Linked DNA regions of Callithrix jacchus. The protein of the gene in region 1 purifies or fractionates together with the protein of each later gene. This does not show direct contact. Links are inferred from orthologs where the notes say so. Each region holds a gene or a part of one and is shown on either strand. Other genes may lie near its edges.

The links. Proteins that work in one complex are often made in the same cells at the same time.
Region 2: the proteins of DERL2 (region 1) and SERPINA1 purify together in Homo sapiens (affinity purification with western blotting; 3 studies listed by BioGRID). This does not show direct contact. The link is inferred for Callithrix jacchus from reciprocal best matches to the Homo sapiens genes DERL2 and SERPINA1.
Region 3: the proteins of DERL2 (region 1) and VCP purify together in Homo sapiens (affinity purification with western blotting; 4 studies listed by BioGRID and IntAct, with this or other methods). This does not show direct contact. The link is inferred for Callithrix jacchus from reciprocal best matches to the Homo sapiens genes DERL2 and VCP.

The regions. Positions count from the first base shown.
Region 1 is NC_133506.1:107,012,708-107,016,358, reverse strand, and holds part of DERL2 (derlin-2), read left to right. Parts: coding exon 1-150; intron 151-384; coding exon 385-475; intron 476-715; coding exon of another isoform or gene 716-719; exon of another isoform or gene 720-1,599; intron 1,600-3,227; coding exon of another isoform or gene 3,228-3,267; exon of another isoform or gene 3,268-3,651.
Region 2 is NC_133509.1:129,215,636-129,219,286, forward strand, and holds part of SERPINA1 (alpha-1-antitrypsin), read right to left. Parts: intron 2,786-3,651; 5' UTR 2,782-2,785; coding exon 2,136-2,781; intron 727-2,135; coding exon 456-726; intron 1-455.
Region 3 is NC_133502.1:141,939,479-141,943,028, forward strand, and holds part of VCP (transitional endoplasmic reticulum ATPase), read right to left. Parts: coding exon 3,543-3,550; intron 2,909-3,542; coding exon 2,775-2,908; intron 2,697-2,774; coding exon 2,561-2,696; intron 2,249-2,560; coding exon 2,136-2,248; intron 1,739-2,135; coding exon 1,574-1,738; intron 1,485-1,573; coding exon 1,362-1,484; intron 1,112-1,361; coding exon 899-1,111; intron 413-898; coding exon 104-412; intron 1-103. UniProt on the Homo sapiens protein: Necessary for the fragmentation of Golgi stacks during mitosis and for their reassembly after mitosis. Involved in the formation of the transitional endoplasmic reticulum (tER).

The DNA.
Region 1 (3,651 bases):
CAATAATGCTCGTCTACGTGTGGAGCCGAAGGAACCCCTATGTCCGCATGAACTTCTTCGGCCTTCTCAACTTCCAGGCCCCCTTTCTGCCCTGGGTGCTCATGGGGTTTTCCTTGTTGTTGGGGAACTCGATCATTGTGGACCTTTTGGGTAAGGCTTTTCTCACTATTTTTTAAATTCTTTTACCTGTAAATGTATTTTGTCACTATTTTTCCTGTATATTCTGTTTGGCTTTCATGTATAAGTATTGTAAAAGACTACAATATTCGTTCATTAATAATTATGCTGCCATTCATCCTAAATATAGGCAATTTATGTTGGTAGGTATGCCTGCAATCCAAATTTTCATTGTCTCCCTCATCCTTTATTTCTGCTTGACTTTAGGTATTGCAGTTGGACACATATATTTTTTCTTGGAAGATGTATTTCCTAATCAGCCTGGTGGAATAAGAATTCTGAAAACACCATCTATCTTGTGAGTATTTACATACTCTTACAGGCAAACTAGGATGGGGGTCATGATCTGTGTTTTCTTGGGCTCTCCTAGCTCCTAGTACACATAGTTGAGGTCAGTAACTATTTACAGATTGAGCAAGCTGGCTGCAGTTGAAGAGCACTTGGATTGGGTAGTAACCGACAGTGCCAGGGTTGTGGCCAGAGCAAGGTTAACAGGCTCAGGATATCTTGTTGAGTAACCTGGTAATTGTTGTTCCAGATGACCACTAGAACTTCATGTTCCAGGAGGAGTCTACTGTTTTTATGAAAGCTGCTGTCCACGTTTAGTGAAGTAAGGTAGCAAAATGAGCAAAACTGATGAAAGTTTCTAATGGTGGACTTTCTGACCTGCCAAGCAGGTGGTTGAGATAAGCAGTGAAGCAGAGTGGAAGTAGCTTTGGACTGGAAACCAGGTATAGCTGTCCTACTGACCAGTTGTATAGCAAGTCCCTCCTTTTTTGAACTTCAGTTTCCTGAAATAGAACAATAGAACTTTGATTTCTTTTTTTTTTTTTGGACATGGGGTCTTGCTCTGTCACCTAGGCTGGAGTGCAGTAGAACTTTTGATTTATGAGACCTCTTTCTACTCTGGAATTTGGTGTCCTTGGGAGATACCATATTAAAAAGGGCTCACTTGAGAAATAAAATGTGAGTTTTTGTTATAAAATGTTTGTTGTAGAATATTTAAGCAAGAAAGTAAAATTGTCCATGATCCTGACACTTGGATGTAGCAGGGGCTGCTATTGTTAACTTTTCTTTTTGTATTCTTCAGACTTTGCTATCTGTGTACTTTTTTTTAAATGCTGAGCCAGTCAAGGCTGTTGTGCACTATGATTGCGCCTGTGAATAGCCACTGCTATTCTTTGGCCAGGCCTTTTAAAATAGCCACTGCATTCCAGCCTGGACAACATAACATATGCCTGTAATCCCGGTACTTTGGGAGGTGAAGGCAGACAGATCACTTGAGCTCAGTGCAGTGGTATGATCGTAGCTCACTCTTAACTCAAACCCCTGGGCTCAAGTGACCCTCCCACCTCAGCCTCCCAAGTAGCTGGGACTACAGGTACACACCACCAGGCTCTGCTAATTTAAAAAAAAAATTTTGTGTGTGGAAATGTGGTCTCTCTGTGTTGCTCAGGCTAGTCTTGAACTCCTATCCTCAGGTGATCCTCCTGTCTCTTGGCCTCCCAAAGCATTGGGATTACAGGTGTGAGCCACCACACCCCACTTTTTTTTTTTTTTTTTTTTTTTTGCAATTGTTTTCTGGCTCAACAAGATATACCAGGCTCATGTTGTGCTCTCCTTGATCCGGTCCTGGAATCAGCTGTTTCTTCAAGGAGCCCTGGTTCCTTTAAAGTGGAGAATGGTATTTAGAAGCCAGGATCTGGGTGCTATATGTGCTCATTGCTATTGAAGTGTTGCTATTCCCAGATCCTCTCAGTGAACAGAGCAGTGGAATTATATCTATGTATGATAATGTATACACATGTATATTTTTAGATCTGTAGATTTTCAAAAACACGGGTTTATGCTATCATTTCTAGTACTACCCCATGGTTCATACTAGCTTTTTTCCTTTCTATTTGTTTCCTCCCATATTTTATTATGAAAATTTCTAAACTTATAGGAAATCAGAAAAAAAATGTGAGCTTCATTTAGGCACCACATAAATTCTGTAATCAATAGTTGCCTGTTCTTTTTTTTTTTTTTTTTTTTTTTTTTGAGGTGAAGTTTCTCTTTTTGCCCAGGCTGGAGTGCAATGGCGTATTCTTGGCTCACCACAACCTCTGCCTCTCAGGTTCAAGCAATTTTCCTCCAGCCTCCCAAGTAGCTGGGATTACAGACATGTGCTACCATGCTAATTTTGTATTTTTAGTAGAGATGTGGTTTCTCCATGTTACTCAGGCTGGTCTTGAACTCCCTCAGGTGATCTGCTGGCCTTGGCCTTGGCCTTGGCCTCCCAAAGTGCTATGATTACAGGTGTGAGCCACCATGCCCGGCCTGATAGTTCCCTATTCTTTTTGCACACCTATCCCTCCATCTAGCTTTCCTGTCCAAAACATATGTGCCATCATATGTATACTTAATTCCTTGTATACTTTAGTATATATATCATTAACTAGAGTTTGGTAATTATGTGCAACAAAATACACAGATATTTAGTGTGTCAACTAATGAATGTTTATAAATGCACACACGTGTATATATCAAGGCAGAAAATTACCATCAACCAGAAAGTTCCCTGATGTCTTTCCCTGTTAGTCATTGCACCTGTCCCCCAAGAAGCAATCGCTATTCTGATTTTGTCCTCTGTAGATTAGTTTTTCATGTTCTGCAACTTCATGAGTAGAATCGTACAGTGTGTATGTACTCCTTTGTATAAGGTTTTTTTCAGGCAGAGTGCGGTGGCTCATGCCTGTAATCCCAGCACTTCGGGAGGCTAAGGTTGGCGGATCACAAGGTCAGGAGTTTGAGACCAGCCTGACCAATAAAGTGAAACCCTTGTCGCTACTAAAAATACCAAAAAATTAGCCGACTTGGTGTATGCCTGTAATCCCAGCTACTTGGGAGGCAGAGGTTGCAGTGAGCCAAGATCACGCCATTACACTCCAGCCTGGGTGACAGAGCAAGACTCCATCTCAAAAAAAAAAAAAGTCTTTTTTTTAATTCAACATAATGTTTTTGAGACTCATCTATGTTCTTATATGTCTTTTTTTTTTCTTTTTTTTGAGACGGAGTTTCGCTCTCGTTATCCAGGCTGGAGTGCAATAGTGCGATCTTGGCTCACCGCAACCTCTGCTTCCTGGGTTCAGGCAATTCTCCAGCCTCAGCCTCCTGAATAGCTGGGATTACAGGCACGCGCCACCATGCCCAGCTAATTTTTTGCATTTTTAGTAGAGACTGGGTTTCACCATGTTGACCAGGATGGTCTCAATCTCTTGACCTCGTGATCCACCCACCTCAGCCTCCCAAAGTGCTGGGATTACAGGTGTGAGCCACCGCACCCGGCCTGTTCTTGTATGTTTTTGTAATTTGTTCCTTTTTATTGCTGAGTATTATTTGATTATAAGAATGTACCACTTCTTTCCATCTGCCCTTTCCAATTGTCCTAACCTGATTCTTAATGATTGTTTTTACCTACCTAATTACCCCCAT
Region 2 (3,651 bases), on another chromosome or scaffold:
GGCTGTTCCAATTCCAACCCTTGCTTTTCTGGGCCTTGTCACACAGGCGCTTCCCCCGTTCCCCCAGGGACAGTCTACCCTTGAACTCCTGACTCCACTGTTGCCTTTGCCATCTGTTCCTTCTTGGTTCTGCAAGAACATGTGATGGTGCTGCTGTCCCTGCCCTGGGCCCTGAATATTGGGAAGGGACAGTGTCTACGCTAGAGTGGGAAGTCCCCAGGGACTAGACCTTTACCTCCTCGCCCCTGGGTACTGTCATCCTCATGGAGCATGGATGGTGCTACCTGAACTCAGTGGTGGCCTCATTCTGGAAGCCAAGTTTATGCAGAGTAGCAGTGACCCAGGGATGTGGGGTTCACCCTCCCCCGCCCTCTGGCCAGTCCTGATGGGCCTCAGTCCCAATATGGCTATGAGGTGCGGGCAGCTTCTTGGTCAGCCTCAGGTTGGGGAATTACCTTCTGGTTTCAGCTTCCAGGGATTTGGAGATGACATCGTGGGTGAGTTCATTTTCCAGGTGCTGTAGTTTCCCATCATCAGGCAGGAAGAAGAGGGCGGTGGCATTGCCCAGGTATTTCATCAGCAGCACCCAGCCCTCCAGCTTATCACAGTGGTGGATGTTAAACATGCCCAAACGCCTCATCATGGGCACCTTCACACTGGTCACCTGGTCTATGTGGAAGTCCTCTTCCTCGGTGTTCTTGACCTCAAAGGGTCTCTCCCATTTGCCTGGACAGAGAGGAAGATGGGCATCACCAGGGGTGGGTGAAAGTTTGGAAGAATGTGGCAGAATAAAGGAGCCCAGAGTCCCATCCCTGAGAAGCCCTGAGCCCCCTTGATGACACACATCTCTCGAGCCTCAGCTTCACCATCTGGGAAGCTCCCGGAAAGGATTGTGTGGGGATAATTCTGAATGAGAGGAATATGCAGAGTTTCTACATCGTGGGGTTGCCAGGCTAAGAGATGCCATCCTGGCTGTGCATTTTTATTGGAATTGTATTTTTATTTGAGGGTGTCTTGGACATGACAAATAAAATTCTGGAGCATCAGGCACATTTGGTACCTCCTGTCTGGGGCTCCCTGCCCTTAGTTAACTGTCAGCTCAGTTATTCATTCAGGGCAAACATTCTGCTTACTACTCCTGAGGCCTTTTCCTGGATCCTCAGGGGAAATGCAGATGCCTAGGCAGCCTCCCCTCTGCCATACCAAGAGAGTTTCACCATCGAGGCATGCAGAGTGCGCAGGTGCCTCAGGGACCCCTGAGCTCAGCTTTCTCATTGGACAGAAGGAGGAGAGTGAAGCTGAAGAGGGACGGGGCCTGCCGCGTCTGAAGAGCAGAGCTGGGACCTCAGTTGTGCTGACTGCAGCCTGGCTGCTCCCCACTGCCCTCCTCTGCCTCAAGAGCAAGGGAGCCTCAGAGTGGAGGAAAGCAGGCCTGGGCTTGCCTCCCACCTCCCCTCTCCCAGGCTGTTTTCCTGGGACAGTGGGAGCTGGCTTAGAATGCCCTGGGGCCCCCATAAGTGTGACATTGTAACCCCTCAGGGGCAGGAAGGCAGCCTGAGGTACATAAGAGTCCTTCACCTGCTGTATGCCACACGCCGCCCCCCCAAGATCTTTGTCACTTGTTTAATCCTTAAAAAGCCTGACAGTCAGGGTGCTATTTTGTCCATGCTAAGATGGGAAATTAGCACCTCAAAGAGGTAGAATGCACTAATATAAGTGGTAGAGGCAGGATTTGAACCCAGGTCTTTCAGACTGCAAAGCTGATACTGATTCCCGGACACTAGAGTTGTCTAAAGTCTGTTCCATGAAACTATCCCATTAAGCAGGGTACTACAATTTGTTCTGTAGTTCTAAGCATTACATATTCTACATAGACAGTACACATAAGGACATTAAAGGCTCTGAAAAGTTCTGCAGAGCCATCGGCAGTTTTGAGAATTTAACCTGTTATTCCCCCAAATTACTCAATGATGGAAAACGCTGTAGTGTTTTTGTGTAGAGAATTGAAGAATCCATGCAGACATGGATGCTATAACCCATAATGCATTGCCAAGGAGAGTTCAAGAACTGATGGTCTGAGAATTTTTGTTTGTTTGTTTCTATGGGAACAGCTCAGGCTGATTGTGCAACCTTACCTTTAAAGAAGATGTAATTCACCAGAGCAAAAGCCGTGTCTTCGTCAAGCTCCTTGACCAAATCCACAATTTTCCCTTGGGTTCCCTTCTCCACATAGTCGTTGATCTGCTTCTTGGCCTTTTCAGGGTCCCTGAAGTTGACAGAGAAGGCTTCCGAGTGGTACAGCTTTTTGACATCCTCCAAAAACTTATCCACTAGCTTCAGGCTCTCATTGAGGAACAGGCCATTGCCAGTGGTCAGCTGGAGCTGGCTGTCTGGCTGGTTGAGGGTACGGAGGAGTTCCTGGAAGCCTTCATGGACCTGAGCCTCCGGAGTCTCCGTTAGGTTGAAATTCAGGCCCTCCAGGATTTCGGTGTGAGTGTCAGCCTTGGTCCCCAGGGAGAGCATTGCAAAGGCTGTCGCGATGCTCATTGGGGAGAAGAAGATGTTGGTGGTGTTGGACTGGTGCGCCAGCTGGCGGTATAGGCGGAGGGTGAACTCAGCCAGGTTGGGGGCGATCTTGTTGTGGGTTTGGTGGTCATGATCATGGTGGGATGTATCCATCTTCTGGGCAGCATCTCCCTGGGGATCCTCAGCCAGGGAGCCGGGGACCAGGCAGCACAGGCCTGCCAGCAGGAGGACGCCCCACGAGACAGAGGATGGCATTGTCCTGCAAGACAGAGACGAGGGGACCAGGGCACGTGATGACTTCCAGTGATCAGGGATTGACATCATGTAGAAGCACAGATGGTTTATTAAACCAGCCTGGGCCAAGTACTTGCTGACATCACTAACACTGAAAGAATCAGAAGAATAGCAAAATGTATGTAGTGCTTACCATATGCCAAGCACTGTTCTGTGGGCTCACATGTGTTAACTCATTCCTTTCTTGCAATAATCCTGTGAGGTGCTAATGCTGCTATCGTCATTTTACAGATGAGGAAGCCAAAGCCAGGGAGATTAGGTCAACTAGTCAATGTTACCGAGTAAGTAAAGTAGCAGAACTGGAATCCTACATTTAGGTCTTGCGTCCAGGCTCTGGGCAGCTCCCCTTACAACTGCAATGACCCTAAGATGCAAGTGGTACAGCCACTGTTTCACGAAAGAAGATGAGGCACCAGAGGAATAAGGGATCTGCCCACGATTATCCAGGATCAGGCCAGATCAGAATCAAGACTCACGTCGCGCTGGGAGCCCTTGGAGAGCTTCTATCTAACCCCACTATTTAGTGGCCAGGGAAGCTGCTGCAGAGAAGGGAAATGTGTCTTGCACAATGGCACCAGCTAGAGCATGGTGGGGCTGAGATTAAATCCCCTGGGGGCTGTTCCACCCAACACTCACAGGGAGCCTCAGCCCTTAGGGTTTTTTCCTGAGAGAGGGGCTGTCCCTACAATACTCTGTGGTTCCAGTCACAAGAATAGGATGATATGCCTGCAGTCAGCTTACTTGCTGTCCGAGTCACCAACGGTGTCCCCAGTTCTGGTCTTTTGCTGTCACGGGCTTTAGAGAAGCTCATCTCTCCTTTAAAGCAGGGGT
Region 3 (3,550 bases), on another chromosome or scaffold:
ACCAACCCTAACCCCAATGGAATCTTGTCCAGAAACCAAAGAGCACTCCATACCAGCCTGAGGACTCATACAAGTCCCCCATAGCCCATGATCTTGCACCTGCCTTGGCAACTGGGGACTTGCGCAGGTTAGCCTTGAGGATGGCAACACGGGACTTCTCATCAGGAAGTGGGATATAGATGAGCTGATCAAGACGGCCAGGTCTGAGGATGGCAGGATCAATGATGTCAGGCCGGTTGGTAGCGCCAATTATGAACACATTCTTTTTTGTGGACATGCCATCCATTTCTGTCAGGATCTGGTTGATGACTCGGTCAGCAGCCCCACCACCATCTCCAATGTTACCTCCACGAGCCTTGGCAATCGAATCCAGCTCATCAAAGAATAGCACACAGGGGGCAGCTTGGCGGGCCTGTGGGAGGAACAGACTGAGTCAAGCTCTAACAAAACTAAATCTCTCTGGCCAAATGCAGTGGCTCATACATGCATTCCCAGCACTTTGGGAGGCCAAGGTGGGAAGATCACTTGAGGCCAGGAATTAAAAAACAGCCTGGGCAACATACCAAGACTTTACCTCTAAAAAAAAAAAAAAAATAGCCAGATGTGGTGATGCATGCCTGTAGTCCCAGCTACTTAGGAGGCTGAAGTAGGAGAATTGCTTAAGCCCAGGAGTTCAAGGTTACAAGTGAACTATGATTGCACCACTACCCTCCAGCCTGGGCAACAGAGCCAGATATTGTCTCAAGAGAAAAAACAAAACAAAACTAAACACTGGATCTCTCAGACCTCAGAAAGATTACTGTCCAGTTGAGTAGCCAGCACTGTTTCAACTCTCTTAAAGAAAAACAGTTCTTGCCCCCAGGCAAATGAATACAGAGTCCACCCTATTATAGCTCACCTTGTCAAAGATTTCTCTGACATTGGCCTCAGACTCCCCAAACCACATGGTGAGAAGCTCAGGACCCTTGATGGAAATGAAGTTGGCCTGGCATTCATTAGCAATGGCTTTGGCCAACAAAGTTTTCCCACAGCCAGGAGGTCCATAGAACAGAACTCCCTTGGAGGGTGTCATGCCAAACTTGAGGAATTTGTCTGGGTGCTCCACAGGATACTAGGACAAAAAGGAAAGAGGGTTCAAGGCTACCACCATATTTTGAAAGAAACCTAACCAAACGGAAGCTTCATGGTGTACCCAATGGTATCAGATCCAGGTTCTCTAAAAGCAGACTCCTTAATGCCTCAAACCTAAGAACAGTAGGTTCCTAAGTTGTGCTCTTACAACTCTTGCAGCCAATGTGTTGATACCCTGAGACCACCCACATCACTAAGGCAGTGACTCACCCTGGACCAAGTTACCCTACCTGGACCAGCTCCTGAAGCTCACGTTTGACATCCTCTAGGCCGCCGATGTCTTCCCAGGTTACCTGTGGCACCTCTACCACAGTTTCCCGCAGTGCTGATGGGTTACTCTGGCTCAAAGCCCACTAGAAAAGAAGGGAAAACTGGATGAGACTTACCAGGGAAGGGTCAAAGCACATTAGGTGTGTACCTGAGGTAGGGGTGTGGTCCTTACCCGGAAGTCATCCATAGTAACTGCTAGAGAGTTCATGACCTCGGCATCAATGGTCTCATCCTCTAGGTCAATGAGATCCATCTTCTTGCGGATGGCTTGCAGAGCAGCCTCTGAGCACAGGGCTGCTAAGTCAGCACCCACATGCCCATGAGTCTCATTGGCTACCTGTAGAGAAAGACCTACTTACTATGCTGCCTCCAGCTCCCACAGGAGGCTAAGAAACAACAGAAATCCTTCCCCCGACTCCTATCCCTGGGTCCTCTCATTTCGTTGAATATGTACTAGCAATGTCTTTATTGGCTGGGTTTTAAGTACTCAATTCGGGACTTGAGGCCTAGAAATAAAGCTGCCCCAGAAATTCTGATTTACTCTAAATGCAGTGTTAACTGAGAAACAAGTCAACTCCAATTTCCTGGATTCAATCTCAGATCACTTCCTTTCCCCTGTCCAGAAATCAAAATCCATCTCCTCACATCTTAACCTTATGTTCCAAGCCAGTTCCCAGCAACTGCCTAGAAACAGAGATATTGTAATGCCCAGTCAGCCCTCATCATCACTTTACCTGTTCCAGGTCCACATCATCTGCCAGCTTCATGTTCTTGGTATGGATCTGAAGAATTTCCAAGCGTCCTGTAGCATCAGGAATTCCAATATCTACCTCCCGGTCAAAACGACCTGTGGGACAGTACATGAACACAGACAGGGCTCATTTCTAGTCCAGAGGGAAGAGACAGGCCTAGCAGGACCAACCATCTCAGTTAGCATAGGATTGTCCTGATGTTAGCAGTGAAAAAGTCTCAAACCCTGGGAAACCTTTCAGTTTCAGGAAAACCAAGTGGTTGGTCAGTCTAGACAGGATGCAGGATAAGGGAAAAAGACCCCTGGACCTAATCACTGCAAAGGGCTTCAAGAGGATTAAGTGACTTAGATGAAGGAGAGAGGTGAGATGTAAGCAAGGGCAGGGTTGGATATATCTGGAGTGCTTACCAAATCGCCGTAGAGCTGGGTCAATGCTGTTGGGTCTGTTGGTTGCTGCCATGACAATAACATGTGCTCTCTGCTTTAGGCCATCCATGAGGGTCAACAACTGTGATACAATACGCCGCTCCACCTCGCCATGTGTCTGCCAGAACAGGATGTCTGGTCATAAGTGAAGTTAGAGCCTTTCAACCCCCCACTATCCCTTCAGGTAAGCTCCTACTTTCTCTCTTTTGGGAGCGATGGCATCCAGCTCATCAATGAAAATGATGGCAGGAGCATTCTTCTCAGCCTCCTCAAAGGCTTTACGAAGGTTGCTCTCAGACTCACCAGCCAATTTGCTCATGATCTCAGGACCTGAAAGAATACAGAATGGAGGCAAAAACAAAATTATAGCCTTTCCTAATTACCCAAAAAACAGTTATCTTGCTTGTCTGGCTCAGAGACAGGTCCTGGTGAGAAGGTGGTGACCTTTGCCTACTTCTCAGATCCTCTACCAACCATTATCACAGGATAGCCACCAGTCCAGGCTAGAGAGAAGCCCAGGGACTCAGTATACTCTTCTCACAGTTGAACTAGAAGTATAAAGGTGACAGCAAATGCTCTGGGACCTATGGCTAGAGCAGGAGAGATGGCACACCAGCTAGATCTCTACCAGCTAACAGTATTCTCCAAGAGCCAGCAATCCAAGTTCATTTCCCCGAAAATCTCTCATATCAATAAGCATTCACCCATTAATTTCTCATTCTAGCTTGCTCCCACTCTTCGGTCTGTCCACAATCTTTCTCAAAGGGGACAGGACAGGGAGCACCAATGTAAAGTATCTTCCCTTTATTCTTCATCTGTCTGTAACATACCCCAGGAGAAGAAATATACTATAAAAGTGCAGGTGGGCATGAATGCAAAAGGGATCGGTCCATGAGCTCTCCAGCTCATGAGTCCCCATTCAAAATTGGGTCTAGCTAGACCTAAGATGAACCAAGTCTCTTACCATTGATC